7 linked regions of the Macaca fascicularis genome follow. The main gene of each other region encodes a partner of the protein of the gene in region 2 in a complex. Links are inferred from orthologs where the notes say so. Each region holds a gene or a part of one and is shown on either strand. Other genes may lie near its edges.

The links.
Region 1: SNRPF (region 2) and SNRNP200 share a complex: the UniProt entries of both Homo sapiens proteins name them as parts of the U4/U6-U5 tri-snRNP complex. The link is inferred for Macaca fascicularis from reciprocal best matches to the Homo sapiens genes SNRPF and SNRNP200.
Region 3: SNRPF (region 2) and DHX16 share a complex: the UniProt entries of both Homo sapiens proteins name them as parts of the minor spliceosome. The link is inferred for Macaca fascicularis from reciprocal best matches to the Homo sapiens genes SNRPF and DHX16.
Region 4: SNRPF (region 2) and LSM5 share a complex: the UniProt entries of both Homo sapiens proteins name them as parts of the U4/U6-U5 tri-snRNP complex. The link is inferred for Macaca fascicularis from reciprocal best matches to the Homo sapiens genes SNRPF and LSM5.
Region 5: SNRPF (region 2) and RBMX2 share a complex: the UniProt entries of both Homo sapiens proteins name them as parts of the minor spliceosome. The link is inferred for Macaca fascicularis from reciprocal best matches to the Homo sapiens genes SNRPF and RBMX2.
Region 6: SNRPF (region 2) and CRIPT share a complex: the UniProt entries of both Homo sapiens proteins name them as parts of the minor spliceosome. The link is inferred for Macaca fascicularis from reciprocal best matches to the Homo sapiens genes SNRPF and CRIPT.
Region 7: SNRPF (region 2) and STRAP share a complex: the UniProt entries of both Homo sapiens proteins name them as parts of the SMN-Sm complex. The link is inferred for Macaca fascicularis from reciprocal best matches to the Homo sapiens genes SNRPF and STRAP.

Annotation. Positions count from the first base shown.
Region 1 is NC_088387.1:1,387,317-1,391,590, forward strand, and holds the start of SNRNP200 (U5 small nuclear ribonucleoprotein 200 kDa helicase), read right to left. Parts: upstream 2,801-4,274; 5' UTR 2,692-2,800; coding exon 2,647-2,691; intron 2,126-2,646; coding exon 1,962-2,125; intron 240-1,961; coding exon 68-239; intron 1-67. UniProt on the Homo sapiens protein: Catalyzes the ATP-dependent unwinding of U4/U6 RNA duplices, an essential step in the assembly of a catalytically active spliceosome. Plays a role in pre-mRNA splicing as a core component of precatalytic, catalytic and postcatalytic spliceosomal complexes.
Region 2 is NC_088385.1:102,891,833-102,896,042, reverse strand, and holds the start of SNRPF (small nuclear ribonucleoprotein F), read right to left. Parts: upstream 2,801-4,210; 5' UTR 2,679-2,800; coding exon 2,676-2,678; intron 697-2,675; coding exon 571-696; intron 162-570; coding exon of another isoform or gene 99-161; exon of another isoform or gene 1-98. UniProt on the Homo sapiens protein: Plays a role in pre-mRNA splicing as a core component of the spliceosomal U1, U2, U4 and U5 small nuclear ribonucleoproteins (snRNPs), the building blocks of the spliceosome.
Region 3 is NC_088378.1:141,993,824-141,997,323, reverse strand, and holds part of DHX16 (pre-mRNA-splicing factor ATP-dependent RNA helicase DHX16), read right to left. Parts: intron 3,127-3,500; coding exon 3,016-3,126; intron 2,847-3,015; coding exon 2,731-2,846; intron 621-2,730; coding exon 410-620; intron 213-409; coding exon 114-212; intron 3-113; coding exon 1-2. UniProt on the Homo sapiens protein: Required for pre-mRNA splicing as a component of the spliceosome. Contributes to pre-mRNA splicing after spliceosome formation and prior to the first transesterification reaction.
Region 4 is NC_088377.1:97,820,315-97,823,814, reverse strand, and holds the end of LSM5 (U6 snRNA-associated Sm-like protein LSm5), read right to left. Parts: intron 3,224-3,500; exon of another isoform or gene 3,047-3,223; coding exon of another isoform or gene 2,968-3,046; coding exon 2,872-2,967; intron 2,279-2,871; coding exon 2,251-2,278; intron 1,391-2,250; coding exon 1,318-1,390; intron 927-1,317; coding exon 894-926; 3' UTR 438-893; downstream 1-437. UniProt on the Homo sapiens protein: Plays a role in pre-mRNA splicing as component of the U4/U6-U5 tri-snRNP complex that is involved in spliceosome assembly, and as component of the precatalytic spliceosome (spliceosome B complex).
Region 5 is NC_088395.1:136,676,609-136,680,761, forward strand, and holds the start of RBMX2 (RNA-binding motif protein, X-linked 2), read left to right. Parts: upstream 1-1,353; 5' UTR 1,354-1,417; coding exon 1,418-1,422; intron 1,423-1,633; coding exon 1,634-1,749; intron 1,750-3,200; coding exon 3,201-3,252; intron 3,253-4,153. UniProt on the Homo sapiens protein: Involved in pre-mRNA splicing as component of the activated spliceosome. As a component of the minor spliceosome, involved in the splicing of U12-type introns in pre-mRNAs.
Region 6 is NC_088387.1:75,424,960-75,429,172, forward strand, and holds the start of CRIPT (cysteine-rich PDZ-binding protein), read right to left. Parts: upstream 2,801-4,213; 5' UTR 2,714-2,800; coding exon 2,698-2,713; intron 1,231-2,697; coding exon 1,165-1,230; intron 372-1,164; coding exon 317-371; intron 1-316. UniProt on the Homo sapiens protein: As a component of the minor spliceosome, involved in the splicing of U12-type introns in pre-mRNAs. Involved in the cytoskeletal anchoring of DLG4 in excitatory synapses.
Region 7 is NC_088385.1:18,708,235-18,711,734, reverse strand, and holds part of STRAP (serine-threonine kinase receptor-associated protein), read right to left. Parts: intron 2,133-3,500; coding exon 2,036-2,132; intron 827-2,035; coding exon 689-826; intron 1-688. UniProt on the Homo sapiens protein: The SMN complex catalyzes the assembly of small nuclear ribonucleoproteins (snRNPs), the building blocks of the spliceosome, and thereby plays an important role in the splicing of cellular pre-mRNAs.

The sequences.
Region 1 (4,274 bases), on a different chromosome or scaffold from region 2:
ATCATAGAAGCTGTATGCCGGGAAATGAAACAAAGACCGAATATATATTTCACAATATCACACTCACCTGGTCCCCAAGAGCAGCCTGGATGAAGCTGAGCAGCACCTCATAGGTCTCCCGGGTCTCCTTAGTTTTGGGTTTGTAGATGATACCCACCATCTCATCAATGCCCTCCGACAGCAGAGTGTAACCCTTCATCTTGTTGATGTCATGCCGGTCCTCATCACGCTTTCTTCGCCTGGTGGACACGTGACGGTGAATGGCAGAACCTTTCCTCCCCGAGGGAAGACTGGATCAAGCCCACCCTCCTCTCCTCAGCTTCATGGCAGGAAGTTAATATCTGAAAACCGGTACCTGAGCCTCAGCAAATGATTCCTATTGGACCTTGATCACTTGCAGGAGTATTTCTTTATGGGACCCAGTGACAGAAAGAAAAATTCCCCATCGTCTTCTCACTAGATACACTACACATTACAGTGAGATATGTTTCTCATTTAAAACATGCAACCCTGGCCGGGCGCGGTGGCTCAAGCCTGTAATCCCAGCACTTTGGGAGGCCGAGACGGGCGGATCACGAGGTCAGGAGATCGAGACCATCCTGGATAACACGGTGAAACCCCGTCTCTACTAAAAAATACAAAAAACTAGCCAGGCGAGGTGGCGGGCGCCTGTAGTCCCAGCTACTCGGGAGGCTGAGACAGGAGAATGGTGTAAACCCGAGAGGCGGAGCTTGCAGTGAGCCGAGATCGCAGCCACTGCACTCCAGCCTGGGTGACAGAGCCAGACTCCGTCTCAAAAAAAAAAAAAAAAAAAAAAAAAAACATGCAACCCTTTGGTCAGGTGCAGTGCTTGACGCCTGTAATCCCAGCACTTTGGGAGGCCGAGGTGGGCGGATCACCTGAGGTCAGGAGTTCAAGACCAGCCTGGCCAACATGGCGAAACCCTGTCTCTACTAAAAATACAAAAATTAGCCGGGCACGGTGGCGAGCACCTGTAATCCCAGCTACTCAGGAGGCGGAGGCAGGAGAATCACTGGAACCCGGGAGGTGGAGGTTGCAGTGAGCAGACATCACGCCACTGCACTCCAGCCTGGGTGACAGAACGAGACACCATCTCCAAAAAAAAAAAAAAGAAGTATAACCCTTCTCAAAAAAAAAAAAGGACAACCCTTCATACATTGTATGAGACTATTATATAATAGGATTTTGACTAGTTTTTCATCTCTCAAATGCATTTTCCTTTTCTAACTAGAGAAACAAGCTCTAACAGAATCTACTGCCGTTGACTATCAACCAATTATAACAAAACTGGAAAAGAAGATATAGCACAAAGTGGAGATAATGTATTAACTCATTTCAAACATACTTTAATCAAACTAAGCCCATGAATTTTGGAAACATCATCATAGGAAAGCGAGCAAGACACCAAGATATTCAAGATCAAAAGATAATGGTGAGGTAAAGGTAAGTTTTGAAATGCGTCCCCAAGAAATATTTAAGAAAAGAAAAAAAGAAAAAAAATGCAAAATAAGAAAAAAAACTGTCTTTCATACCATGGATGCTTAAATTAGTTTGTAACAACAAAATAGGTAAGAAGTGGACAAGAGTAAAGGGAAAAAATAGGGGTAGAAAGTTAGTAATGGAAAAAAAAAAAAAAAGAAAAAGAATTACTGGGACATAGGAATAGCAAGGGTCTTGAAAATACCCTGAAGAAAAGTAAGATCTGTCTATGGACTAGAAACACACATGTAAGAAAAAGGTACCAATAAGTTATTTTCCACTTCAGGTACACTTTTTAAGGCCAAAAAAATCTTTAAACTCTCCTGTTCTGTTTTTACCTTCACTAAACCGTTTTAATGCCACTGATCTTACACCAAGCATTCCGGCCAAAATGCTGCTCGAATGTTAAAGAGAAGAGACTTTGGATCTGAAGGAAAAAATAGTATTCCCTTAGCACTCACTTGGCTCTTCTTTCCTCCTGCATCTGCGGTTTGGTCCGTTGAGCCTTGTCTCCCATACGTGTGCCCTCCAGCTTCCCAACAAGGGACAGCACCTCTCCTGTGGGTTCATCCCGGCGGGTCCGGTCAATGAGAGAGCGGTCAGCTTGGAGCACAAGATTTGAGTTCTGAAAAGATCAAAACATTATTGAAGCTTTGACATGAGCAGGGCCAGTTCCTACTATCACAGTTACCCCAGCTGATGGAAGAATCGTAGTAGCTAGTTGCTTATAATCGCTAATCGTAATAATGATATTTTCCTTAAGAACTGCATGGTATGACGCTGTGCAGAAGCATAGAGCTGAATAAGTCTTACGGCCTGTCGAATCAGCTAAGCAATTCTTGTTCCTAACAGTGCCCATCATAACCCACATCTGGGAAAAGTGGTGAGTGGGTTGGGAGTGAAGTGTGGAAGGGGGCGGGCTTAGCGTTGAAGGGACTCGAGAAACTCCTCCTAGAGAGATCTTAGCACTCCCCAGACCCCCGTAGGTTACTCACGTCATCAAATAACCCCCACCTTCACCGCGATTCCACTTCCCCTCCGTTTTCGTGGCTCTCCTGGAGGCCTTCAGACTGAAACTCTCTTTTTCAGCCTCCCCCTCCCCACTGGACTCCTGAGCCTGGAATCCTCCCACGAGCCCAAACGTACCGCCTTGTACTCGTACTGCAGACTACGGGCGGTTACATCCGCCATGGCCGCGGCTGCTTGGAGACTTCAGGCCTCCACGCCCCCCAGCCGCACGCTGCAAACGGCCGTGGACCTCCGCTCCCGCCGCGCCGGTACGACGCAGGAAAGACGCACTGGGGGAAGGAAAAGAAACGGGCTCCCTTCCGCTTCCGGGTCGCGCCCCGGAAGTGTGGGCGGGGCGTGTCCCTGGCGTATGCGCGGGGCTTCCCGCAGCCCTCTGAGTGGGATGTGTGGGCCTGGTGCATTTGGGTCCCCGAATCCCTAGACCCGCGCACTCTGGTTCCGGCCGCCCGCAGGCCCCAAGGACCCAGGGCCCGTGCTCTCCCCGACCTCAGTCTCCAGCCCCCCGGCACCCCTCACATCGTAACGAACGTACGGCCGCTTAGCCCCTGTCCCGTCCCAAGACCTTTCCTTCCGCTTCCTTCCTCTTTGGCAACAGTCCCATGAGGTAGGCAGGAAAAGAGGGCCTGAAAAGTCCCGTTTCCGTTTGAGGTAACGAAAGCACCCAGCGAGCGAGGTCACGTGCGCGTGTGTCTGTGTCTGCGTGTTTTAATGATTGGCGTCTTGCTTTGGGTTTCTCTTCTGTGTTGAACAATTGAAAAAGAAAGCTGCTGTCCCCCACCCGTCCCAGCTAAACCGGTGGCCCCAAGACCCTCGTTCTCACCCAGCGGAACGAACAGGGCCGGGGCCCCCGTCCGCTCCCAGTTGTCGGTGACATTCTATGGTAGGGCCCTGTCTGCCGCCCGGGGAAACCGGTGCAGGCAGGGCCAGAGAACAACAGGCTGGATGTGGTGGCTCATGCTTGTAATCCCAGCACTTTAGGAGGCTGAGGAAAGAGGATTGCTTGAGGCCGGGAGTTTGAGACCAGCTTGGGTAACATAGTGAGGCCCTGTTTCTTCAAACAATAAAAAAGTAGCCAGGCCTGGTAGTGTGTGCCTGTAGTCCCAACAACTTGGAAGGCTGAGGCAGGAGGATTGCTTGAGCCCAGGACTTCAAGGCTGCAGCAAGCTAGGATTGTGCCAGTGTACTCCAGCCTGACCCACATAGCAAGACTCTTCCCCCACAAAATGAAAACAATTTTTTAATTAAAAAGATAGAAAAGAAAAATGACAGCCATGCTTCCTCACTCTGGGGAAGGGGCTCGGGGAAACTTCCTGGGCCAACTTGTTGAAAATGGGGGAAGGGGTCTAGTCCCAGCACTTTGGGAGGCCAAGGCGGGCGGATCACAAGGTCAGGAGATCGAGACCATCCTGGCCAACATAGTGAAACCCCATCTCCACTAAAAATAGAAAAAAATAAGCTGGATGTGGTGGCACGGGCCTGTAATCCCAGCTACTCGGGAGGCTGAGGCAGGAGAATCACTTGAACCAGGGAGTCAGAGGTTGCAGTGAGCTGAGATCGTGCCATTGCACTCCAGCCTGGCGACAGAGCCAGATTATATCTCAAAAATAAATAAATAAATAAAGAATTTTATAGTGTATAGTTTTTGTCTCTCTAAAGTTGTTTTTAGACAATTTTTTTGGAAACAGGGTCTGGCTGTGTTGCCCAGGCTGTAATGCAGTGACACAGTTTCAGCTCACTGTAGCCTC
Region 2 (4,210 bases):
AAAATGGTTAGAGTGGCAAAATTGTAATGTATATTTTACCACAATAAAAAGAAAATTAATTACAAAAAAACCCCCACCAAAACACATGGCTGAATCATTTACAGAAACTCATTTGACAGACATACAGTCAGTTCAATTTCTTCGGCAGATGTGTCTTTCCCCTGAAGGAATGAATTTCCTCAATAACTTTGGTGTTGTGCCTTTAGCATCATTCATTAAAAGACTCATGAATTTCACTTGAAAACTTTCTTTCAGGGCTAAATGATGAGAAATGTTTTGTTTTCTCCAGCAAAGTAGTGTGTTTCCCTTACAGTATTATTATGAATTAAATGTCTGAGCTCTTCTTACTTTAACTACTAGGAATAAAATCTGTGGCTGAATTCTGGTTTAAGTCCATGTCTTGTACCTAGTATATCATAGTATCCTCCCTGGCTTTGACTTTATTTTTTAATTTTGCCGTACATTTGTCAATTTAATTGTATGTATTCTTATTAGTCAGACTAAACCTTTGAGCAATAAGGTGAAGCAAACTAAATGCAATGTTATGACCTTTACAGCTCTTTAGCTTACCTGCATGTTCATGTAGCCATCTACAGATACCAGATAGCCCTTGTACTCCATTCCCCACTTAAGTTTCACCATCACTGGCTTTCCTGTTAGTCCATTGAGGAAAGGTTTGGGATTGAGGGGTAAACTCTGCACAAAGAACAAAAAAGGATCCAATTAATTATTTTTCCTCCCACCACCAACTCTCTTCTACTAAATACCAATATTTTGTGGTATGCAAATGAAGAAAACTCTTGACTCATTATTTTAGTACACAATTTTCACTTTTATTTATTGGAGAGTACCAGGGAAATTTAAATATCCAGTTAGTCAGTATCACCTTTAACCCATCAAAACAAAATACTCACTATTCACTTAAGATAACACCGACTACATACATCACTTACTGTTCTGAGCTCTAAAGAAACAAAGATAAAGGCACTTTAAAAAAAAAAAATGCGGGCCAGAAAGGGTGGCTCATATCTGTAATTCCAGCATTCTGGAAGGCCAAGGCAGGGGGATCACTTGAGGCCAGAATTTCAAGACCAGCCCAGGCAACATAGTGAGACCACCTTCTCTACCAAAAATAGTCAGATGTGGTGGTGCACACCTGTAGTCCCGGCTACTAGGGAACAGAGCAAGACCTTGTCATAAATAAATAACAGAGTCCCTGTCAAGAAGTTGGAGATGGGGAGGGGGGCTCCTCACATACAAATAATTATACTGCATATTGCAACATAATAAGAGGAGATATACTAGGCACAAGGGTACCGAAGCAATCCAGGGAAAAAAGGAAAGGTTGCCTGAAATAAGTTAACCTCAGTTTTAAAGAATGAGAATTTATTTCCAGAGCGGGAAAAAATCCTGTTCCAGGCAAGGCTAGCTACTTATGTAAAAGGAGGGAAGAGTGAAGCAACAAGGTGATTTTGGGGACATACAATTCAGCATTGTCAGTCAAAGTCCCAAATATAAGACTACAGAAGGAAGCAGAGGGCAGATGACGCTTGACAGTCTTTAACTGTGGAAGCTAGGGCTAGGTCCTAAATGACTTTGTCACTAGCACTGCCTCTTATAGAAATCACTTAAAGTTTGTTCAGCAAACCATTAACATCTCCAGTGAATTCGGTTTTTGCCTTTTTCTGCTCACTCACCAGTCAAAGAAAGAACAGAACTAAGAAACTTGGCTACTAACCCCCTCTAACATAAACATATTCGGAGTGACTTGATACGGCGATTACTCCAATAACCTAATGGGTCTCCAGTTTTCATTCTCCAATTTATTATCCACCACAGCAACATGATTTTTTAAAGTGCACATCAAATTGTCATATTTCTGCTTAAAATGATTCAATGGCTTCCAACTCAATCATTTTCAATTGATTTGGAGTACAATCAAAACCTCCCAATACAGCCTAAGAGGTCCTGTCCAACGCCTGCTCCTCCGACACCATCTCGTAACCACTCTTCCTGCAAGTGGCTGTACCTTTTTGTCAATTTCTCCAACTGACCAAGCTTTCTTTCCGGCCGCAGGTCTTATGCGCCTATTCCCTGTGCTCGGTACACTCCTCCTCCTGCTCTTTAAAGGGTCTATTTCATGACACTTAGGCTTCAGGTTAAATTCCACCTCCTAGGGAGGCCATCTCTGACTAAGCCTCTAAATGTCTAACGCGCACCCTCACAGCCTCCTGTCTGCATTCTTCTTAGCACTTATTACTTGCAATTGCATATTTGTTATTTTTTGACTGTCTGTCTTCCCCAACCAACTGAGTTAAACTAGAGCATGGCCGTATCATTACTTTCATGCAATGAAAGTGAATTTTGGAGTGTGGTTAAGTGGGAAGTGCAAATTCTCTTTGAGTTTTACCCCGACCCTGTAGCCACAAACAAGAATATCCCAAGCCCGGATTCAAACAAAGAGGAGAAGGCACGGGTACTCCTAGAAAAAGAAAGGCATCGGGAGGAGCACGCGCCTCAGAAATCCTAAAAGCAGAGTGAAAGAAGCTGGCGACCGGGTGCGCGGCGCCTCACGCGGATGAATGGGAAACGCGCGAAGCAACCACTAGGCCCCGCGAGGTGGTCTCCCTCCTTCTCTTTCTCCCCGCTTCTCCCGCCGTTCTCGTTCTCCTTACCATCGTAACCACGGCCGAATATTGCAGGCTACTCACTGCCGACCAGGCTGCCGCTTGTCCCTCGTGACTACAGCAGGTACCCCAGGTCCCGAGCCGCTGAATTTCAAGAAAAATGGCCGCCAAACAGGAGTGTGACCTTTCACCTCCCACCACGGCCCTTCCTGCCTCTGTGATTGGACGAAAAGAGATGCGCGCTGATTGGAGGAGATGGTTGGACCAGTATCTCCTGGCAACCAGCAGCGGCTTGAGTTTGCGCCTGGCCGGCTGCGCGCGGGTCTTGGGAAACCCGCTCTGAGGAGCAAGGTGAGGCAGCCAAGGACTGGAGGCAGGCCGGTGTTGTAAATGTGCGGTCTGGGAGAGGCTGTGTAACGGATGTGACTTCTCCCCAACTTGGTTAATGGGGATTTTACTTTGTCTTTTTACACCCGTGAGAATGTTCAGGATCCCAGAGTTCCTTCCTCACTCTTCCAACAGGTTCCATGATTTGGGGGCGCCTCTGCCGCAGGCCGTTTCTACCTGAGTATTCTCTCTTCTGCAACACCCATTTCAACCCCTTTTAAAGGACTTCGGGGGTAGCCAGACAAGACTAGGGGCGGTGAAACGCACCGAAGGGAGTCGGATACAGAATTTATTTTAAACGAGGTCAGGTTGTGTCTGGGATATGATGTCATGTCCCCCCACCCCCCACGACCCCGCCGGCCCCATCTTTCTTTTGCATCGCCAGCAGAGACTGGCACGGCCTTCTTACGTGCATTTGAAATTACCTAAGGGCGTAAGCAATATTTCCGCTGTCACGGATTAAAACTTTCGACGTAACGGTGTTATCTGAATCTCACTGGTTTTTGTCGTAATCCTAGTGAGTTCGGCTCACTCTGATCTGAAATGCTAAATGCAGTTCTTGGAGAACACGCCCTTTGGGAAGTAACGCTTTTTTGCGGCCCTGAAGAGATGGATTTGAGGTTGAGGATGAAATGTTGGTTGTTGAGGCACTGTGGAGCAGTGGGCAAGACTTTGGAGAGGGCCTGCATTCGGAACCTGCGTCTATCAGGCGCAGCCGGTGTTGGGCAGTGTCTTAACCCTCAGGGCCACTGTTTCCACGGCAGGAACGCGGCTTTAAAAACGGAACCATCCTCAGCGTGGTTGCGAGAATTTAACCTAAAACGGGGCTTGGCCTTGTAAAAGCTCAGTGTTTCACATAAGTGTTGAACACTGACAAGACAGTCATTGTCAGTGTAGTTTTTACCAAACAGTTATTAGATTTATTCACCCTAAACTTAAGTGGATTTCTCCCTTAGTTTGTATATTGTTTCATGAACTTTAAGTCTTTGTGCAGACTTTGAGTTCCTACTATGTGTCAGGCTCTTTCAACAATTGTGGAAATCTTACCTTACCGTCTGATTCGGGGTGACAGCCCCGTTTTAGAGATGAGGAAGCAGGCCCAGCAGGTAACTGTTACCAGTTGAGGGTAGCTGTCCGAGTTCTTGCCGTTTTCAACAAAGAATTGGACAAAACGCACAAACAAAGCAAGGCAGCGA
Region 3 (3,500 bases), on a different chromosome or scaffold from region 2:
TCCTGGATAGAGGGTGGGGAGAGCAGCAGGGATCCCAGAGTCACAGAAGGCCAACATGCCGGCCCCATCTTCCCCTGAGATACACCCTCCCCTCTCCCAACCATGTCAGGCACCTGTCCTGTCAGGAACACCAGGATATCCCCAGGGGGCTGGGTCACGTGGATCTGCAACACAGATACAACACAAGCTTCCAAGTAGTCAGCCTCTGGAGCCTGGAGAGCAGAAAGAGATGCGGTCACAGGAGGGCCACCTGCTTAGGCAAACCTTTCCTCTCCTCCCCGTTCAACATATACTTTATCCTAGTTCCCCTTTGGACCTTCCACTCCATCTTTCCCTCCTTGGGATAACTTTCTCCAAAGGCCTCAGCTTTTCTGCCACAGACTTAAGCCCATCCTCCCTGAGGTAGCACCTTGGTGTAGAAGATGTCCACAGGAAACCTGCGTCCGGGGATTCGAAACACAGGGGCGTCATCAAAGAAGGTGGAGAAACGGGCAGTGTCCAGTGTGGCTGAAGCCACCAGGACCTTGAGCTCAGGTCGGAAGCGAGCAACATCCTTGATCAATCCAAAGAGAATGTCTGTGTGTAGGGTCCGTTCGTGAGCCTCATCCACCATCACCACACTGGGGAGGGAATAGGGCAGCAATGAGGGAGGAGCGCTGGGCAATGCAGTATCAGACACCAGGGTTCCCTGGACGAGAGGGGAGTGATGGACACAAAGAGCTCAAGAATGACTGTTGACGGAGGGGGGGTCTAAGGAGAACTCAGCCATCCCAGTTATGTAAGACCAACAGAAAGTCAGAGGCGGCCAGGGACCCATGATCTGCAACCTATCCCAGCCTCAGCAGACAATAGAAGCCAAGATGTAGAGGCTGCACTGAGGCCAGGACAAGTTAGACATACTCTCTAGTTCAGTCAAGAGTCTGCTTAGACTCAGTAGCTGCTCTTACTAGAAAAAGTTGAAGGATATGCTTTAGGCTGGGCACGGTGGCTCACACCTGTAATCCCAGCACTTTGGGAGGCCAAGGCAGGCAGATCACGAGGTCAGGAGTTTGAGATCAGCCTGGCCAATATGGCGAAACCCTGTCTCTTCTAAAAATACAAAAAAAATTAGCCAGGTGTGGTGGCGCACACCTGTAGTCCCAGCTACTCAGGTGGCTGAGGCAGGAGAATCGCTTGAACCCGGGAGGCAGAGGTTGCAGTGAGCCAAGATTGAGCCACTGCACTCCAGCCTGGGTGACAGAGCGACACTCTATGTAAAAAGAGGCCAGGTGCGGTGGTTCACGCCTGTAATCCCAGCACTTCGGGAGGCCGAGAAGGGTGGATCATGAGGTCAGGATATTGAGACCATCCTGGCCAACACGGTGAAACCCCGTCTCTACTTAAAAAAAAAAAAAAATTAGCCGGGCGTGGTGGCGGGCGCCTGTAGTTCCAGCTACTCGGGAGGCTGAGGCAGGAGAATGGCATGAACCTGGGAGGCGGAGCTTGCAGTAAGCCGAGATTGCACCAATGCACTCCAGTCTGGGTAACAGAGCCAGACCTGCTAAGAAGGATTCTTCTTTTGCAGAGAGGAGCAAGTTAAGCCTTTCTACCCCAACTCTCAGAGGACTCTGCATGCTCCCTGGTTTCTCCTAACTCAGTTATGTGCATGACACCTTCTTTCTCTTTGCTTTATTTTTTGGCTTTTCTGGATGGCAGCCAAGTCTCAGGAACTCATCCTCATCTTCCCCTACCCACCTCTCTGACCTCAACTCTTTGTCCCTAACCCTAACTGTGATGGTGAAGCCCCCAGTCATTCCACAAAGCAGGCTGGCTCGATGGGCAAAAATATCTGCATCAGGCCCTCTTGCACTGGCTGGCTCTCCATGGGTTCTCAGAGATTTTTTGCAAGGGATATGAAGGATAAAATCCTATCTGTCCAATCACTCCACTGTGATCTTCCAGGGCCAGAAATTCACAGCCTCTGAAGAGTCAAAAAAGGGCACATATTGTTCAGCTGGCCTGACCCCAACCCCAGCACATTCATGAATCCCTTTTCCCCCTCAACACATGTTCAACCAACCTCTGCTTGGCCATTTCCAGCACTAAGAGCTCATTATTCACAGACCAAGCTACCCAAGACTTGTGTGGAGGGCCAAGATCCAGAGTCCAACCACTCTGACAGGCCCTGCAATCTCCAACACTCTGAGGGTTATTTAGCCATCGGTATTGAGTTGGAATCTGTCTCCCTGTAACCTCCCCATGGCTCCTAGCTGTATCCTGTAGGGTTACATAAACCAAGTCTCATCCTTCTTTCCATGTCACAGCCTTCACATATTTAGAGGGAACCAGGATGCCTCTCCTGCTTCTCCCTCTGAGCTGAGCATTCCAGGTGTTTTCAAATGGTCTCCACATGGCATTTCAAGCCTCCGCAGCAATGCTATGCTATCCTGGTTGTTTCCTAACCCTGGAGATGAATGGGGAAAGAAGAAGAGGCTTTCTCTACAATCTCTTCTATCCTCCAGCCCCATCTCCGTGGTACCTGGAGGTCAGTTCAAGGACCGTTTGAACCATAACGATATAAGAACTGGTGGATTAATCAGAAGACAATGGCTGAATTGGCTGGGTGGCAAGAAATGAGAGAAAAGCCAGAGATTAGAGATCCAGGAGAGAACTGAGTGGGAGGGAGGCGGCAGCACAGGGGGAAGAGAATGTGGGCAGCTCTCTCATGGGAGATGAGGGCCCTGTATGTACCTGTAACTCGCAAGGTCAGGCTCAGAGAGGAACTCCCGGAGAAGCATCCCATCTGTCATGTAGCGGAGGACAGTTCGCTCTGATGTGCAGTCCTCAAAGCGGATACTGTAGCCAACCTGGTCAAGGGAAACCATTAGCAACCAAGTGTTGGATGGTGTGCCCTGAAAGGAACTTGGGGAAAGGTGAAGTGGGGCAGCACCAAGACTTCTGCCGTAGGGACCTGAGGGCAGTGTAGACTGAGTCACAGACCCCAGTCTCTACCCCCCAGTTCCCTAGAAATCTCACCTCATTCCCAAGCTTCACACCCATCTCCCGGGCCACTCGGGCGGCTACACTCATGGCGGCCACTCTCCGGGGTTGGGTGCAGGCAATCTTCATACCCTTCTTTGTATAACCCTGAATGACAAGGAAGAAAGAAGAGGTTTACCCTTTGCTAAATATGCCCCCTGGGACCAGGTACAATTCAGAGAAAGAAGTTGTAAAAGCCAGACAGGAGAAAAGGAGGAAAAGACAGATGCTGAATACCAGAAAAGAAGGGCAAATAGATAGGATGACAGACCTAGGGCCCTCAAAGGGGGTCCTCACCTAGCTCTGGGTAATTAAGTTCATGGCTCTGCTAGACTTGAGCTGGAAAAGAACAGATTAGCTGAGGCAGAGTCAGCTAAGGTAAAAAGCAGGAAGGCTGGGCACAGTGGCTCATGCCTATAATCCTAGTACTTTGGGAGGCTGAGGTGGGAGGATTGCTTGAGCTCTGGAGTTCGAGACCAGCC
Region 4 (3,500 bases), on a different chromosome or scaffold from region 2:
ATGTGTACTGAGAGTGGACTGAGAAAGTCTATGAAGACATACAGCAAAGCATGATCAACCTTCTCCTTTTTGCTTACTTATAATCCTACGATGTGTGTATATTACCTGTTTGTTTTTAATAGTTCTTTGACTTAATTTATACAGTTCTATGATCTTATTATCAGTTCCTTGATTTTACCTGAGTCCCAGAGTTCTTAGCTGTTTTTAGTATCCTTTACCTTAAAGCTCTGTCTCCACTAATTTCCTGGCAATTCAGTAATAATTACATTAAGGTAATAACCCTCTGAACCAATTTTATAAACAAATAGATAAAATTTGTATCTTTAGGGAAATTCCAATAGATAATTCCCGCATTTCTACAATGTGCATATATTACCTGTATATTGTTTGTTTTCAATAGTTGTTCATGGAATTTGAAATCAGTAGAAAAATCCTCATTACAAAACAACAGCATTTTAATTTAATTTTCTAAGTGATCATTTCCAGTTGTTTAAATGCACCTGTTCAAATCAAAGTTCATCATTTTGTCTGGAACGACTTTTGTTTGAGAATCAAATGGTCATGTAAATGAGAAAGCAAATAAGCATATAATGACAGAAAAGTAAGTGGCAAAATAACCACAATCTTTGTTCCACTGGCTACTGCAGTACAATAAATAAAATGACAATTAACCAAAAACACCTTTATTTTCGTCTTCAAAGAAGAAGCTCTTTTCTTCTTTTTCCAGGATAATCATGATTAACTTACAAAAATGGGTACACATCTTCAAAGCACTTCCCTTTAACGGGAAACTTAGCTTTACGGGATTTAAACATTAGAAGGTGGGGGAAAAAAATTCCATTTTCTTGTCATTAAAAGACAAAACAGAATCTAGCTAAGTCAAGAAAACTCATTCACACTTCAGGTCCTTCTCCTCCAGGAACCAGCTGCATAAAGAGGAAAAAGAGTTTATTAGTAACACAACAACCATGTCATCTAAAAATCCCTTGCTCTTCCTTAAGCCACCTTTGCCTGTCCTCTGCGCTCCACATTCCCATTTTCTCCAGATTGTCAATATCTATTCACAATTTCCAACATCATCAATTAATACTTACTATCTCAACAGCGATTAAAAATTCGAAGCAAACTAACCTTTAGACCCAATGCCTCTTCAATAGCTGAGCTTTAGGGCCCTGACCACAGAGAACACCCTTCCCATCTTACGCACCACTGGGCCATGATCATTTAGTTAAGCAAGCAACATTAAGGTTAGTTCTATAATCACTGCCCCAGAAAAATGGGCTCCCATCTAAACAAAACAGTTTCAATGTGTCTTACCATTGTTATATTATTTCCATTTAGCAAAATCTGATCTAATTTAGTAATCCTTCTTCCTTCTGGTGTGATTTCACTAAATGAATAGATAAAATACAGTCAGGATAAACAGTGAAAATCAAAGCCAACATTTTGGAAATACTTTCCCTCCCTAAAAAGGTGATCCTTGTATACAAATTACTCTGAGGTTGGGCAATTATATCGACAATTTTCAGTTACAAAGGTTATCCACTAGGTAATGTAACCTTCATTAAAAGCAACAGAATGAACTCACTGACCTAAGATCCACATCTGTCAGACAGAGCTTCATAAAAAGAAGCCAAAGCTTGCCCAAGAAATCAAATATGAAATGAAATGTTTTTTGGGTTTTGTTTTTTTTTTAAGAGACAGGGTCTTGCTCTATTGCCCAGGCTGAGTACAGTGGTACAATCATAGCTCACTGCAGCCTAGAACTCCTGGTTCACGGGATCCTCACCCTCCAGAGCAGCTAGGACCACAGCTGCCCCCCACCATACCCAGCTAATTTTTAAATTTTTTATAGAGACAGGGGTCTCCCTTTGTTGGCCAGGCTGGTCTCAAACTCCCAGGCTCTATCCTCCTCATTAGGCCTTCCAAAATGCTGGGATTACAGGGGTGAGCCACCATGTCCAGTCTAAATGCTCTTACTATCAGTTCCTTGATTTGACCTGAACCCTAAAATTCCTAGCTCTTTTATCTTCTACCTTAAAACTGTCTCCACTAATTGTCTAGGAGTTTACTAATAATTAAATTAAGGTAATAACACTGATCCAATTTTACAAGCAAACAGATAAAACTTCTATCTTTAAGGTTATTCTACCAACAGGTAATGTTTTCTCATAAATAATTTTACTCAAAAGTAGTAAAACTGTCTTTAATTAAGAAGAGATTCCCCCCCAATTCTTTAACACTACTCACAACTCAGTGACATCTTCCAGTACCATATCTGAAATTTGGTGTTAAGAAAACAAATAGAGAATTTACTCCAGCTTCTGCCTTTGTTCAGCTTTTCTTTTCTTTTCTTTTGAGACAAAGTCTCGCTGTGTTATCCCAGCTTAAGTGCAGTGGTACACTCACACCTCACTGCAGCCTCCACCTTTTGGGCTTAAAGGATCCTCCTGCCTCGGTCCCAGAGATTAGCTGGGCCCACAGGTGTACGTCACCATGCCCAGCTAATTTTTGTAATGTTTGTGGAGACAGGGTTTCATCATGTTGCCCAGGCTGGTCTCAAACTCCTGGGCTCAAGCGATCCACCCACCTTGCCCTCCCAAAGCGCTGGGATTACAGGTGTAAGCCACTGGGCTCGCTTGTTCAGTTTTAATTATAATGTTTAACACAACGGCTCAAATTCAAAATGTTTGTTGTTGATAGGAACTTTACCGTCTTTCAATACATACCTCTTAAAACATTATCATAAGTTCCCTGAAAATGAACTGATTTTATTATAATAATCACAAATATACTGATTGTCTATAGTTCTTACGTTATTAAATACTTAAGAAAAACCTATACCACCACCACCACCTTTTAAAAGGATACTGACAAAGTCATCAAATCCTAGAAGAGTACCAACAATTTCCTTATCACTCTTCATCACAATGTGAATTCTTGATCCTATACATTTGTCCACAAGTTCTGAGGAGGGAAAAAATATTATTTTACCATTCATTATTTCAACAAATATTTGAGTGCCTACTGGCACTCTTACTTGCATATAGTGAAAGAAAAACCAGGAAAAACATTCATTCAATAACTTTAGGTCTTATAATACAAATCTCAGTTTAAGCACAGCATCTGGCGCGTAATGAGGATTCCAAAAGAGTCTGTGGCATGAAGGAATGAAAACTTTTCAATCACGGCCACGACCACTAGTTCAATCACTCTTCACCAGCTACAAAAACATAAGAGGAGATAGGTATAATTATATTCACCGGAAACTCTGTCACTGCTTCCCTCCCCCAACTCTGTCTATCCTCTGTGCTCTGACGGCAGCTTGAACATCTCTTTTGCCAGCCTAGCATTATGTAGCAGGATGTCTACTTGTCCAGTATTCTCTCCTCCACTGGCTTGTGTGCTATTTGAAGGCAATGGCTATGGTTTAAGTTTATCGTTGAAAAATGCCCAGGCACGGTATCTCGTGTATAGATACTCAGTTACTACTTATTGAA
Region 5 (4,153 bases), on a different chromosome or scaffold from region 2:
CCCTTAATTATAATATTAGCTCCTTGAGGGCAGAGGACCCAACCTGATACTCCTGTCTACAGACCTTAGCTGCACAGGACAAATCTAGATGTTCAGTAAGGACTGATTGAATCAACCTGACCTACTGGGTGCAGGTGCTCTAGTACCTTTCTAGTTAATTTATTCATTTGAGCCTCATTTCTTCCTCTACAAAACGAGGGTGGAAATTTCTTTTACTTTCTCTTTCTTTTTTTTTTTAAAAACAAGGAGTCTCGCTCTGCTGCCCAGGCTGGAGTGCAGTGGTGCGATCTCAGCTCACTGCAACCTTTGCCTCCCAGGTTCAAGTGATTCTCCTGCCTCAGCCTCCCGAGTAGCTGGGATTACAGGCGTGTGCCACCATGCCTAGCTAATTTTTGTATTTTTAGAGGAGACAGAGTTTCACCATGTTGGCTGGGTAGGTCTTGAACTCCTGACCTCAGGTGATCCACCTGCCTTAGCCTCCCAAAGTGTTGGGATGACAGGTGTGAGCCACCACACCTGGCCCCCCCTTTTTTCCTTTATTTTAGAGACAGGTTCTGCTATGTTGCCCAGGCTGGTCTCAAACTCCTGAGTTCAAGCAATCCTCCTCCCTCAGCTTCCCAAAGTGCTGGGATTACAGGCATGAGCTGCTGCGCCCGGCCAGGAATTGTAATTTTATCTGCTTCATTGGGTTGTTGTGAGGGTGGAGAGACAATACATGTAAATTGCTTAGCACATACTCTAGTATCATACAGTACATCATCTGCTCACTTGCTAGCTATTAATTTAACAATATTAATTTCTGTCTCCTGCTCAACTAGGAGAGAGCCTATGGAAAAGAGTAAGTGCAGCGGCTCTCATGCAAATCTGTAGGTATTCAATTCAGCCTATAGAGGCACACTGGTCTGTTGCCTATGTATTGGGATAAGAACAACAGAAGATTTACCTTTTCACCTATCTTCTTCACTTTTCTGCCATGACAGGGATGCTTTGATGGGTCTGTGCGTGAGCAACTGACTAAGAGCGAAGGTCCAAGTGGGACTCTGGACTGGGAGCGAGGGCTGAGACTAAAGTCGCCACATCAGGCTGCTTATTCCGTTCATTCAGCAAATATTTATAGCTAATCTAACCAGTTTCCGATATCGTTCAAGAGCTGGGGGTCCTGCAACAGCCCAGGCTCGTGCCTTTACCCCATTTCACAGAGGAGAAAAAGCGAAAAATTAGAGAAAAACCGTTTCTACAAGAGGTAACCGCAAAGAACGCGGAAGGCTTCTAGTGCGCAGGCGCCACGCCCCGGTACGCCCCAGCTCTTCCGGCGCGAGGTCACCGACTCGACGAGCCACCGGCGCCGGGGCCGCGCATGCGCGGCGCTGCCTTTCCCGGGCGCTGATTCCTGAATGCTGAGCGCGAGCCCGCGGAGATGAAGTAAGGCGTCAGCTTCCTTTTGAGGAACGAGCAGCGGGCCGCTGAGGGTGGTCTACTGGGGCTGGGGTGGTAGAGCGTCTGCGGGGTCGAGGGGCGGGAGAGGCGCGGGGACTAGAACACCTCGTCCCCTTGTTTTGCTCTTCTTCAGCTTCGGCCGGTTAGCATTTACTTGTCTGCTTTTCTGCCTCCCCTCACCCCCGCCACCGTGAAGTCCTTTAACTAAGGTGAAGCTGATCAACGAGCTGAATGAACGAGAGGTCCAGCTTGGGGTGGCCGATAAAGTGTCCTGGCACTCCGAGTACAAGGACAGCGCCTGGATCTTCCTGGGTGAGGTGCACATCTTTCTTCCGCAGTGCTCCCAAGATTCTCCTGCTCGGTGTCCGACTATTTCAGCATTTTCACCCTTCACTCCTGCTTACATTCATTGCCCTCCTTTATATCCATCTGCTGTCTGCCCGGGAATCCGTGTTCCATCTTTTTTTTTTTTTTTTTTTTCTGCCCCATTTTTAGTTTTCCTTCCCAGCCAAATCAGTGCTCATGAGAGTTACTGTTTGCCATTTGCTGTGCTAAGGTTCAGGGACTGTTGTTATTTCTCTCTCACCCCCTGACCCGTTATTACAGCTGAGGAAATTGGGGTGCAGAGAAGTTAAGGGACTTCCTTAAGGTCACATAGCTAATAACCGCAACAGGCAGAACTATAGCTTTCTAGAACTCATGGTCTTAGCCACAGCCCCATATTGCTACCACCGCCCTCCCCCATTCCCCTTCCCTTGCAGAATTCACTTTGCTCCTCTAGCTCCTGCTTTCTGACCATGGCCACACTACCATTACTGTATTCACTTTATATCACAACCAGTAATTGTACAAGTTTGATGCTTCAAAGAGGTTATTGTAAAAACGTTGTGCTAAGCACTTTATATGCATCGTTTTATTTAACTCTTATAACAGTCTTGCGAGTTACCTGCTAATATCCCCATCTTACAGATGAGGAAAGAAACATTTGGAAGGGAAATTATTCCCTAGGAAATGCTTAACAGTGTCTTTATAACCTTTGTCTATGTGTAGGTGGGGTTAATCATGACATATGTAGACTAATTTTGTATCATAGCTGTAAATTTGTGGGTAATGAGCAGATGAATTCAACATGTTTGTGGAAGCAGAGGTTTGTGATGGAAACTATCTGCTTTGCCCATAGGATTTTGGGTGCCAGGAGGACTGAGTGATCAGTTTACTTTTGTTAGTGGTGACACTGACTTCCACTCAAAATTAGTCACTCCTTTTCCTGTTCTACTGGCACCTTACATGTACTTCTGTCATTGCATCAGACTTGATTTCTTTCTTTCTTTTTTTTTTTTTTTTTTTTGAGTTGGAGTTTCACTCTTGTTGTCCAGGCTGGAGTGCAGTGACGTGATCTCGGCTCACTACAACCTCTGCCTCCTGGGTTCAAGCGAGTCTCCTGCTTAAGCCTCCTGAGTAGCTGGGATTACAGGTGCCCGCCACCTCGCCCGGCTAATTTTTTTTGTAGTTTTAGTAGAGACGGGGTTTCGCCATGTTGACCAGGCTGGTCTCGAACTCCTGACCTCAGGTGATCCACCCGCCTTGGCCTCCCAAAGTGCTGGGATTACAGGCGTGAGCCATGGTGCCCAGCCCAGACTTGATTTCTTTAAGGGCAGGGCCTGTTGCTTACTGTTTGCACCCCTAGTGCCTGGCCTAGTGCATGGTACGTAGTAAACACTTGGTAAATGTTGGTGGAACTGAAATGTGGTTTTCTTTTCTAGGAGGGCTTCCTTATGAACTGACTGAAGGGGACATCATCTGTGTGTTCTCACAGTAAGTCCCCTTTCATTTCCTGCCTCCTGAGTCGACAGAGTACTTTTTTCTGTAATGCATTTTGTGGCATCACAAAAACCACTTATTTTCACTCTAGGCTGAATGGTGTCCCTGCATGGGGAGGGCTGGAGCTTCTGCTCTAGTCTAGATCAGTCCCAGGACATGGTTCTAGAATGTTCTCCTGTGGGAGATCCAAGAGGTTTGTTAATTTGGGAGGCCATCTTGGGGATTCTAGTCTATTTCTGTTGTTTTTCACTGAGGTTTGTTCAGCCTGGGCCTAGACTGGAACAGACTGGAACCCTCAGGAAGGTTCCATATTGGTACGCCTCCTTGGGCTCTTGCAAACTAGGGGTAACCCATGGTCACAGGGCCCTTCTGGTCCTTGCCTGTGTGGCATCATACGACTGGGGCAAACCACAGAGGAATTGGGATGAAAAACAGAAAGAAGGTTGTAGTTTGCTTTCTTTGATTCTCAATGAATGTAAGGTTAGTGAGCAAAGCCAATCTCTACCTGGAGGCTGAGAATCACAGCCTGACGAGGAACAAGAATGAATAGGAGATCTGTATATTCTTCATTCTGCTGAGGTGTTGGCAGCAGCATTTGGTGGGAGAGGGTGTTGGTGGCTCATACTGGTAGTAGCAGCTAGTAGGAGAGGGGCTGGGCAGCTGGCCTGCAACCCCAGAGGTAAACAGCACAGTTAGTCCACAGGGCCAGAGGATCTTGGCACAGGTGCAAAGGACCACTACATTTGGGTTTTGTAGGCCTTCAGAGCATAGTACTGTTTCAGAGAAGTTGGACAGCATGTACAGGTAGCAGACCATGGCAAAAGGGGCTGGCCAAGCAAACACAGGTAGCATACACTGGCAGAGGGATTGCTATGGCAGGATGGTAGGGCCATCC
Region 6 (4,213 bases), on a different chromosome or scaffold from region 2:
TCCAAAGCTTACCATCTTTCCACATTTCCCTGCTGTCTCTGATTCATAGGATAATTAAGAAGGAGATAAAATACAAGTCATGTTTTCTGGTGAAACTGTAAGAGAATAACACTAATATCTTCATATATTGATACAGCCAAGGAGGAATAAGGTAAAACCAGCAGGATTGTAACAGATAGCTTGGTTCTGAGTGCTATGAACCACCTACCTTTATGTTTTATTGCAAATGGAATGATGCACATCAAATTCACTCCAGCAGACTTAATACTAAAAGAAAGGAAATTTATATGATCTGTCTATGGATGCTCTTACCCACCTTGCTTTTTTTGAAGTCAAAGCTTTATTTTCATTCAGCTTTCTCCCACCACTTTCTGTATCAGAATAAAAGATATTTTAGTGGGTTATTTCTATACATTTAACATAAAACATTAAGAAGTTCATTCTTTGACTTTCTACCAAAATAGTAGTCTGTATCTAATTTTTAAATCCTCATTTAGTAGGCTATTAAGACACTGCTTAAAAAGAAAACATTTATTAGGGAAACAGTAAAAATTTGTATAAAATACAATCATTTTATTTCTCAGACTCAAGGGAGTACTTTAGGAATGGGTCTATATTTACTCTATATAGTGTAAAATCTAGAAGCCACTACTTCAGTGTCATAGACCTTCAATATAATGAAAATGTTTATTTGTCTACGCTTTGAAAACATACTTTACTATATGTATTTAATAATAATGAAGGTAAATACTTCATTATAAAGATTTAATGATAATGAAGGTAAAATGGGTTAAAGCATTTATTTATTCAAGAATATAAAAATCAGAAGATTTAAAAAAATTTCTCCTCAGAAGAGTGGGGAAATTAAAAACAGACTCTAAATAAGCTGAATCAAATCAAATATTGTGATAATCAAATACTGTGATATTGTCACCACTTGACAATCATTTAATAATTTTGCTATCTCCTGATATTGGGAACCCATACAAGTAACTGAGAACTAAATAAAAGATATTAAATCACTTGGGGACCCAGTATTCTTTAATATTTAATAGATAAAATACTTTGAACATACAACATTTCATTGTACAAATAATGTAAAAGCTAAAATATAATTCACAGTAAGTATTTGGTTAAATTCCTATTTTCTAAAAGAAGAAATACCTGTGGTATTCCTAGCACCATCTTTCCATGTATCTGGAGTGATAACAGTACCAAGTTTCTTTTCACCTGTTAGAACAAGATAGTAAAAGGAAAATTAAAATTTACTATTTCATAAGTGCATTACATTGTGCCTAAGGCTCACAATGGTATCGACTATCAATGCTATTACCATAGGAGCCTGTTAATGCTGAGAAAGCAGCCAGTCAACTGAGACTCATATTAACTGTGGGCAATGAATGACTGACCGTCGGTAAAATTCGCAGGATAATAAGATGGCTTATAATAAGCTTTCACTGTTTGTTTATACTTTTAAAAAATCCAATAAGTCTATTTGTTCCATAAATATTTACTAAGCATCTATGATGTATAAACTATAGAAAGTGCTGAGAAAAAGTGATGAATCAGACAAAATTTTAATGAGATTATAGTATACTAATTTCTTTAACAGCAATCTGTAACCTGGGTTCCCCAGGTGGATCTTAAGAGATATGTGAACAAGGTGGAGTTGTACACAAACCTTTTATATTTTCAGTTTTTTTTCCTGGCAAGAGGCTACAGTTTTCATCAGATTCTCAGAGGGATCACAGACCGTCTCCCCAAAAAGAACCATTCAACCAAAATGTAAGCTAAAAAATAAAAGATATAATAATTGAGAACTAAAGTACTAGGAGAAATTCCAGGCAGGAAAAAATAACCCTGGCTAAGGAAATCCAAGAAAACAAAGTTTGGAGAGAAGGCAAGAGAGAGGATTTGAATATGTGGCAACAGGACTGTGAACAAAAAGGAGTAAAGAGGATGAACGCAAACTAGATAAAGGACACATTCTGAGGAAAGGCATAGAAAGCTTAGAGTACACATGGGCACAAAGAGTATTTTGTTTGGTCAAAGTGTGAAGAGGATGAGGGTCAGTGAAAATGAAGCTGGAAAAATAAGTTAGCGCCTTAGTGTGGAGGGTACTGAACGTCAGGTTCCAAATATAGAATCCCCAAATTATTCTCTGCACACTGAGAGTTTATTAAAGGATTTAAATTAGGGAAATAATAATTTGCACTTACGTTGATGTTCAATTCAAACATCTCTGGGTTTACTCTACGCCATATCCTGGCATAATGACTAATGAGAATGAATAAGGCAAAGTCCTAAGTCTTTGGTTCCAGTGTCTAACATTTGGCAGGAGTACAATACTTGTTACACGAATAAAAAGGAAAGGACAGGAATTGCCAAGAGGGAAAGGTGTCGCTGGGGTTTAACTGAACATTTTTATATGGGAGGGGAGCCGATGAGATCTGGGGCTGGGGGAAGGCAATGGAAATAGAGAGGGAGGTGCAGAACTGAGACCATTCTGAGTACAAAATACATAGGACTGTATGGTCGTTGGGGAGGTGCAAAAATGGTCAAAGGGTAGGGTAGAAAGACAGCGGCTAGAATCAGAGACCTGTGGGCGAAAAAAACAAAGAGAAGGCAAAGTTCCCGGGAGGGCTCAGTTAGATTATCCCAGCCTCCTCCTCCCGCAGAAGCAGCCCCTTAACTCACATTTTTCGCACACCATCCTTCCCCACGACAGTTCCCCTAGCCGCAACAGGAGCAGCAGGAGCCTGAAAACATCAACACTGTAACTGGGAAGTATTCCCCTTCCGGGCTACGTCAATCCACTTCCGGCTTCTAAGCCCACCGCTCCCGCCTACCCCAAACCTGGAAAGCCGCGGGAGGAATGAACGCGAGCGGCTAGGTGGGGCTGCCCCATTTGCCCGCCCCTCCCTTTCTGCGACTGGCTGTTCGGCCGTGGGTGTCCGCCCCACAACCCTGCGTCTGCGCGTGGGCCTGGGCCTCCTGTCGTACCTGATGGTGGGAGGCAGTAGTTCCCCGCTTCCCTTCCGCGGGCGGGAAAGTTAGGTAAGCCTCGCTGGACTTCCCAGGCGCTCTCGCCTCCCGGGGTGCAAGTCACCCCCGCGAATTGCCGAAGCAGCCCTGAGCCTCGGCGCCCCGGCCCGCCAGCTCTCGCCGTCAGCTCGAGCGCCACTCTTCCGGCGTGCCCTGATGGACAGACCCCCTTTCGGATCCGAGTTTTTGCCTCTGTCCCCCAGTTTTTCTTTGTCTCCAACTCCCGAGCTCTTTGATCCTGCTTCTCAGCTGGTTCCTCGCTGCCCACGCTCGCGCCGGCCTAGGGTCGGGCAGAATTCCCAGCGACCAGGGTTGGGGTGGAGCTGCCGGTGGAGGTGCGGCGATGCCCGTGAAGGCTCCTCTGGGGGCCGCTCTGAAGAGCCTTCTCTCCGCTGCGGTGCCTGGGGAAGGTGGGCCGCGTCATGCCCGTGGCACCCCTGCAGGCGCCCTGGGGGCACGCCAGGGCCTAACACGGTGCTGGTTTCCCAGGAGAGTTGGTTTCCCACTTTGCCTACTCTGGTTCCTTCATTCACTCAGCAAACGGTTGAGTTTGGTAACTGCTCACTGTATTACATCCACATCTGATGGCAGCTGCGATTCCGAGGGTGGCTCAGAAAAATGGCTGAAGGGCTATCTGTTGAGAGAATGGATTCCTGATCCCCTTGCCCTCCCTCAATCAGCTTAAGAGAATCTATGGGAAAGTTTACCATTGTCCCTTCTTGCCATCCGTTTGCTTCTTCATGCCTAGTGTATTTCCTTATACCAGAGAGAGAGCTGTAGCGCGTGGGACCTTGGACCACCTCACCTGTTTGCCTTGTTTCCTTATCAGTAAAATATCTGCCTTTGAAAAGCACTGGGTGAATTAAATGAGAGCTATTAGGATAAGGCCCAGGTTCGCCCTTCTGCTTTTCACACTAGCGGGCGCCCCTCCGCGCGCGCGCGCGCCCACGTGTGTGTGTGTGTGTGTGTGTGTGTGTGTGTGTGTAGTATTTTTTTCTGAGATATTTCTATTTTCTGGAATATTCTCCATAGTGTAACATATTGACTGTTACTTTAAATTAATAAAGTCCTTGTTTAACAGTACAATTAACTCTCAGGTAATTTAAATACGTGTATTGTAGAGATGAGTAATTTGTTTTCCCTCCTTCCATTCGTGCTCTACTTTTGG
Region 7 (3,500 bases), about 84 Mb from region 2:
TGCGACCTCAGCTCACTACAACCTCCACCTCCTGTGCTTAAGCAATTCTCCTGCCTCAGCCTCCCAAATAGCTGGGACTACAGAAAAGCTAATTTTTCTTCTTTTTGTATTTTTATTTTAGAGACGGGGTTTCACCACGTTGGCCAGGCTGGTCTCGAACCCCTGACCTCAAGTGATCCGCCCACCTCAGCCTCCCAAGGTGCTGGGATAACAGACGTGAGCCACCACGCCCAGCCCGCAATGGTTTTATCTAGTAAAAAAACATAAATTACATTACCAATCCAGCAGTTTTTGCTTTTTCTTTTTTTTTTTTTTTCTTTTTCAGAGGATGTTTTGCTCTGTCATCCAGACTGGAGTGCAGTGTCAGGATCACAGCACAATGCAGCCTCAACCTCCCAGGCTCCAGCAACTCTCTCACCTCAGCTTCCCAAGCAGCTGGACTATAGGCATGTGCCACCACGACCAGCTAATTTTATTTTTTGTAGAGATGGGGGTCTCACTGTGTTGTCCAGGCTGGTCTCAAGCCATCCTCCCACCTCAGCCTCCTAAAGTGCTGCGATTTATAGGCATTAGCCACCATTCCTGGCCTCTTTACTTTTAAAAAAAAAGTAAATATCTTTCCATTTTTAAGTAGCCAAATTGTCTTTTGTTACCTAAAACAGAAAATGAAAGTATTTCTTGGACATACCTTACTGCACTATGAAAAGCAATAGATCGTCCATAAGTTATAACCAAAATCTCTCCCTCAGGAATATATTCCATACTACTAACAGACATATTAAAATTTAGAGATTTTACTTCTGTCATGGTAGCATGATCCCAAAGTCTGCAAAATAAAGATAAAAATATGATGATGTTTACTCATGTCAGAAAAAAGCTTATAAATTCTAATTACATCTGCAGATTAGCCAAAGAAAGAACAATCACAATTACAGAAAAACAACATTCATTCCAAGTCACAATTACAGATGATAAAAAGAAATTCTGGGTTTCTATATACAATGTCAAATTATGCATGACAACAGCTTTTAAGTAAAATCAACTTTAATACCTACATATACTTCCCAATTTGGCAAAACTACATAAGACAAGTTCGAATCTAGTCAATTTCAGCACTGCTATAAATAGTGGTTCTTACACTCTGTTTTTGTGAATCTAGCAATAGCTACACATCTTTCCAAAGAAATATACATCAGGTGTCAGCAAACAAGATTTTTGTATAGAATTTCAGAGGCTTCATGGACCCTCCCTTTAACCTGCCCACAGACCCAGGTTAAGAACACCTGCTTATAAGAGATCAGGATTTAATTTTCTTCTGAATTTTGCTGTCTGTATATACAAGGTGAGCATCCCTTATAGAAAATACTTGCGACCAGAAAGAAGTTGGATTTCAAACTTTTTCGGATTTTGGAATATTTGCATCAGACGCTTACCGATTGAGAATCCCTAACCTGAAAACAGAAAATTCAAAATGCTCTAATGAGCATTTCCTTTAAGCATCAAGTCAGCACTCAAAGTCTCAGATTTCAGAGCGTTTCAAATTTCAGATTTTCAGGTTAGGGATACTTGACCTGTAATAGTAAATAGCTCCAGATAAATGTGACCTGGGTGCAACTTAAATTTTAATGTTCAGAACATTTTTTGCACATAATATTAAATGTATTTAAAATACAAGCTCTAAGGTAAAATATTTTTCAAATTTTAAGTTTGTTTTTTGTTTTTGAGACAGTCTAGCTCTGTCACCCAGGCTAGAGTGCAATGGCGCAATTTCAACTCTCAGCAACCTCTGTCTCCCAGATTCAAGTGATTCTCCTGCCTCAGCCTCCCGAGTAGCTGGGATTACAGGTGTGTGCCAGCACACCTGGTTAAGTTTTGTAATTTTCATAGAGACAGTGTTTTGTCATGTTGGCCAGGCTGGTCTAGTACTCCTGACCTCAAATGATCCATCCACCTCACCTCCCAAAGTGCTGGGATTACAGGCATGAGCCACCATGCCCAGCCTCAAATTGTAAATTATTAAAAAAAAAGTACTTACCGAACAGTTTTGTCATCAGCAGAAAGAATCTGTTTATCCTCACTGCACCACAGAGCTTTTTTTATACCAGAAGTGTGACCACTAATTTCCTTAGGTTCTTGAGATAAAACAATTAAAAGTATATTTGTTAATACATGATTTTTTTAACTGAACAATATTGAAACTATTATATATTTTAAAAAACACACATTTTAAATTAGACTGCAACTTTTCAAAGCCCAGCCCAATTCAAACCTGATATTTATACAGAATACAGTTAGTTTTTCCATACTGGAACATAAATTTACCTGCATGACAGGGACCCAAGGAACTACTATGCTTGCTATATGTAGCTGAGTGAATGCACCACTCACTCCCTCTAGGCTAAATTTCTGCACAACTGATAATATTCAAAAGCATTATTGTATCGCCATGAAATAAAATAATAATTAATGTGGCATAATTTAATAAGAACATGGACCTAGGAACAAGATAGTTGAAACTGATTCTAGTACTATGGCTAACTCTGGGACCTTCATCCAAGCAGCTATTGATAGTAACTAATAGGAAGTAAGAGTTAGAAGGAAAAAGGGAAACAGAAAGTGGGACAGCAATTCCCAAGAATGTTTCTACACTGTGAGGAAAACATTAAAAAAAAAAAAAAAAAGGAAGGGAGCTTAAATCTGTAGGAGATTATCCTTTCAAAGGACTTCAAAAAACCCTCACTGCTTTCTCTAGGGGCAAAAGCAGACACTGGAGGCAATGCCATTCAACACTATTTTCACCTTTGGGCATGTTACTTAAGTTTTTAACTTTATTTCCTTATCTGTAAAATGAGATAACAATGGTTACAAATGAGGATAGTGCTTAACAGATAACCTGATACACAGTAAAACCTCACTAAGTTGCTATCATTTCTGCTGCCAGCACAGCGAGAAAGAGCAACTTTCATAAAACAGCTTTGGGAAAGGCAGAGTATGAAAAATGTCCACCCAATCCCTGAACTACCTTGCTTTGACCCAATCCCTGAACTACCTTGCTTTGACCCAATCCCTGAACTACCTTGCTTTGCTGAATGAGTTGACAGATTAAGTGAGGTCAGAGTCCTTTCCTATGCTTTGGCATAAATTTATCAAAAAAGAAAGCAGAAAAAAAACCCTACATGCAACGGAGAATAAAAAAATCTGTAAATGGGCTTTGTTTCCTCACCTTAAAAATGTTTTCGTAACAAACTACCCTAACACTAAAACGTAAAATATTTTAAAAAGCTCTCAGAAATGGAAGGTATCTCAAGAGAACAACTGCTTAATTTCCAATGCGGTTCTGACTCTTATTACTCTTTTCAATGTTATAGATTTATGACTACATAAATGCCCACATAATAAAATTTCAAAGATACCAAACATATAATAAAACAAAATTATGTTTGTCATGTTTTGGTAGCTAAGTATATATATATGGTGAGGGCAATGATTAAAATATTATA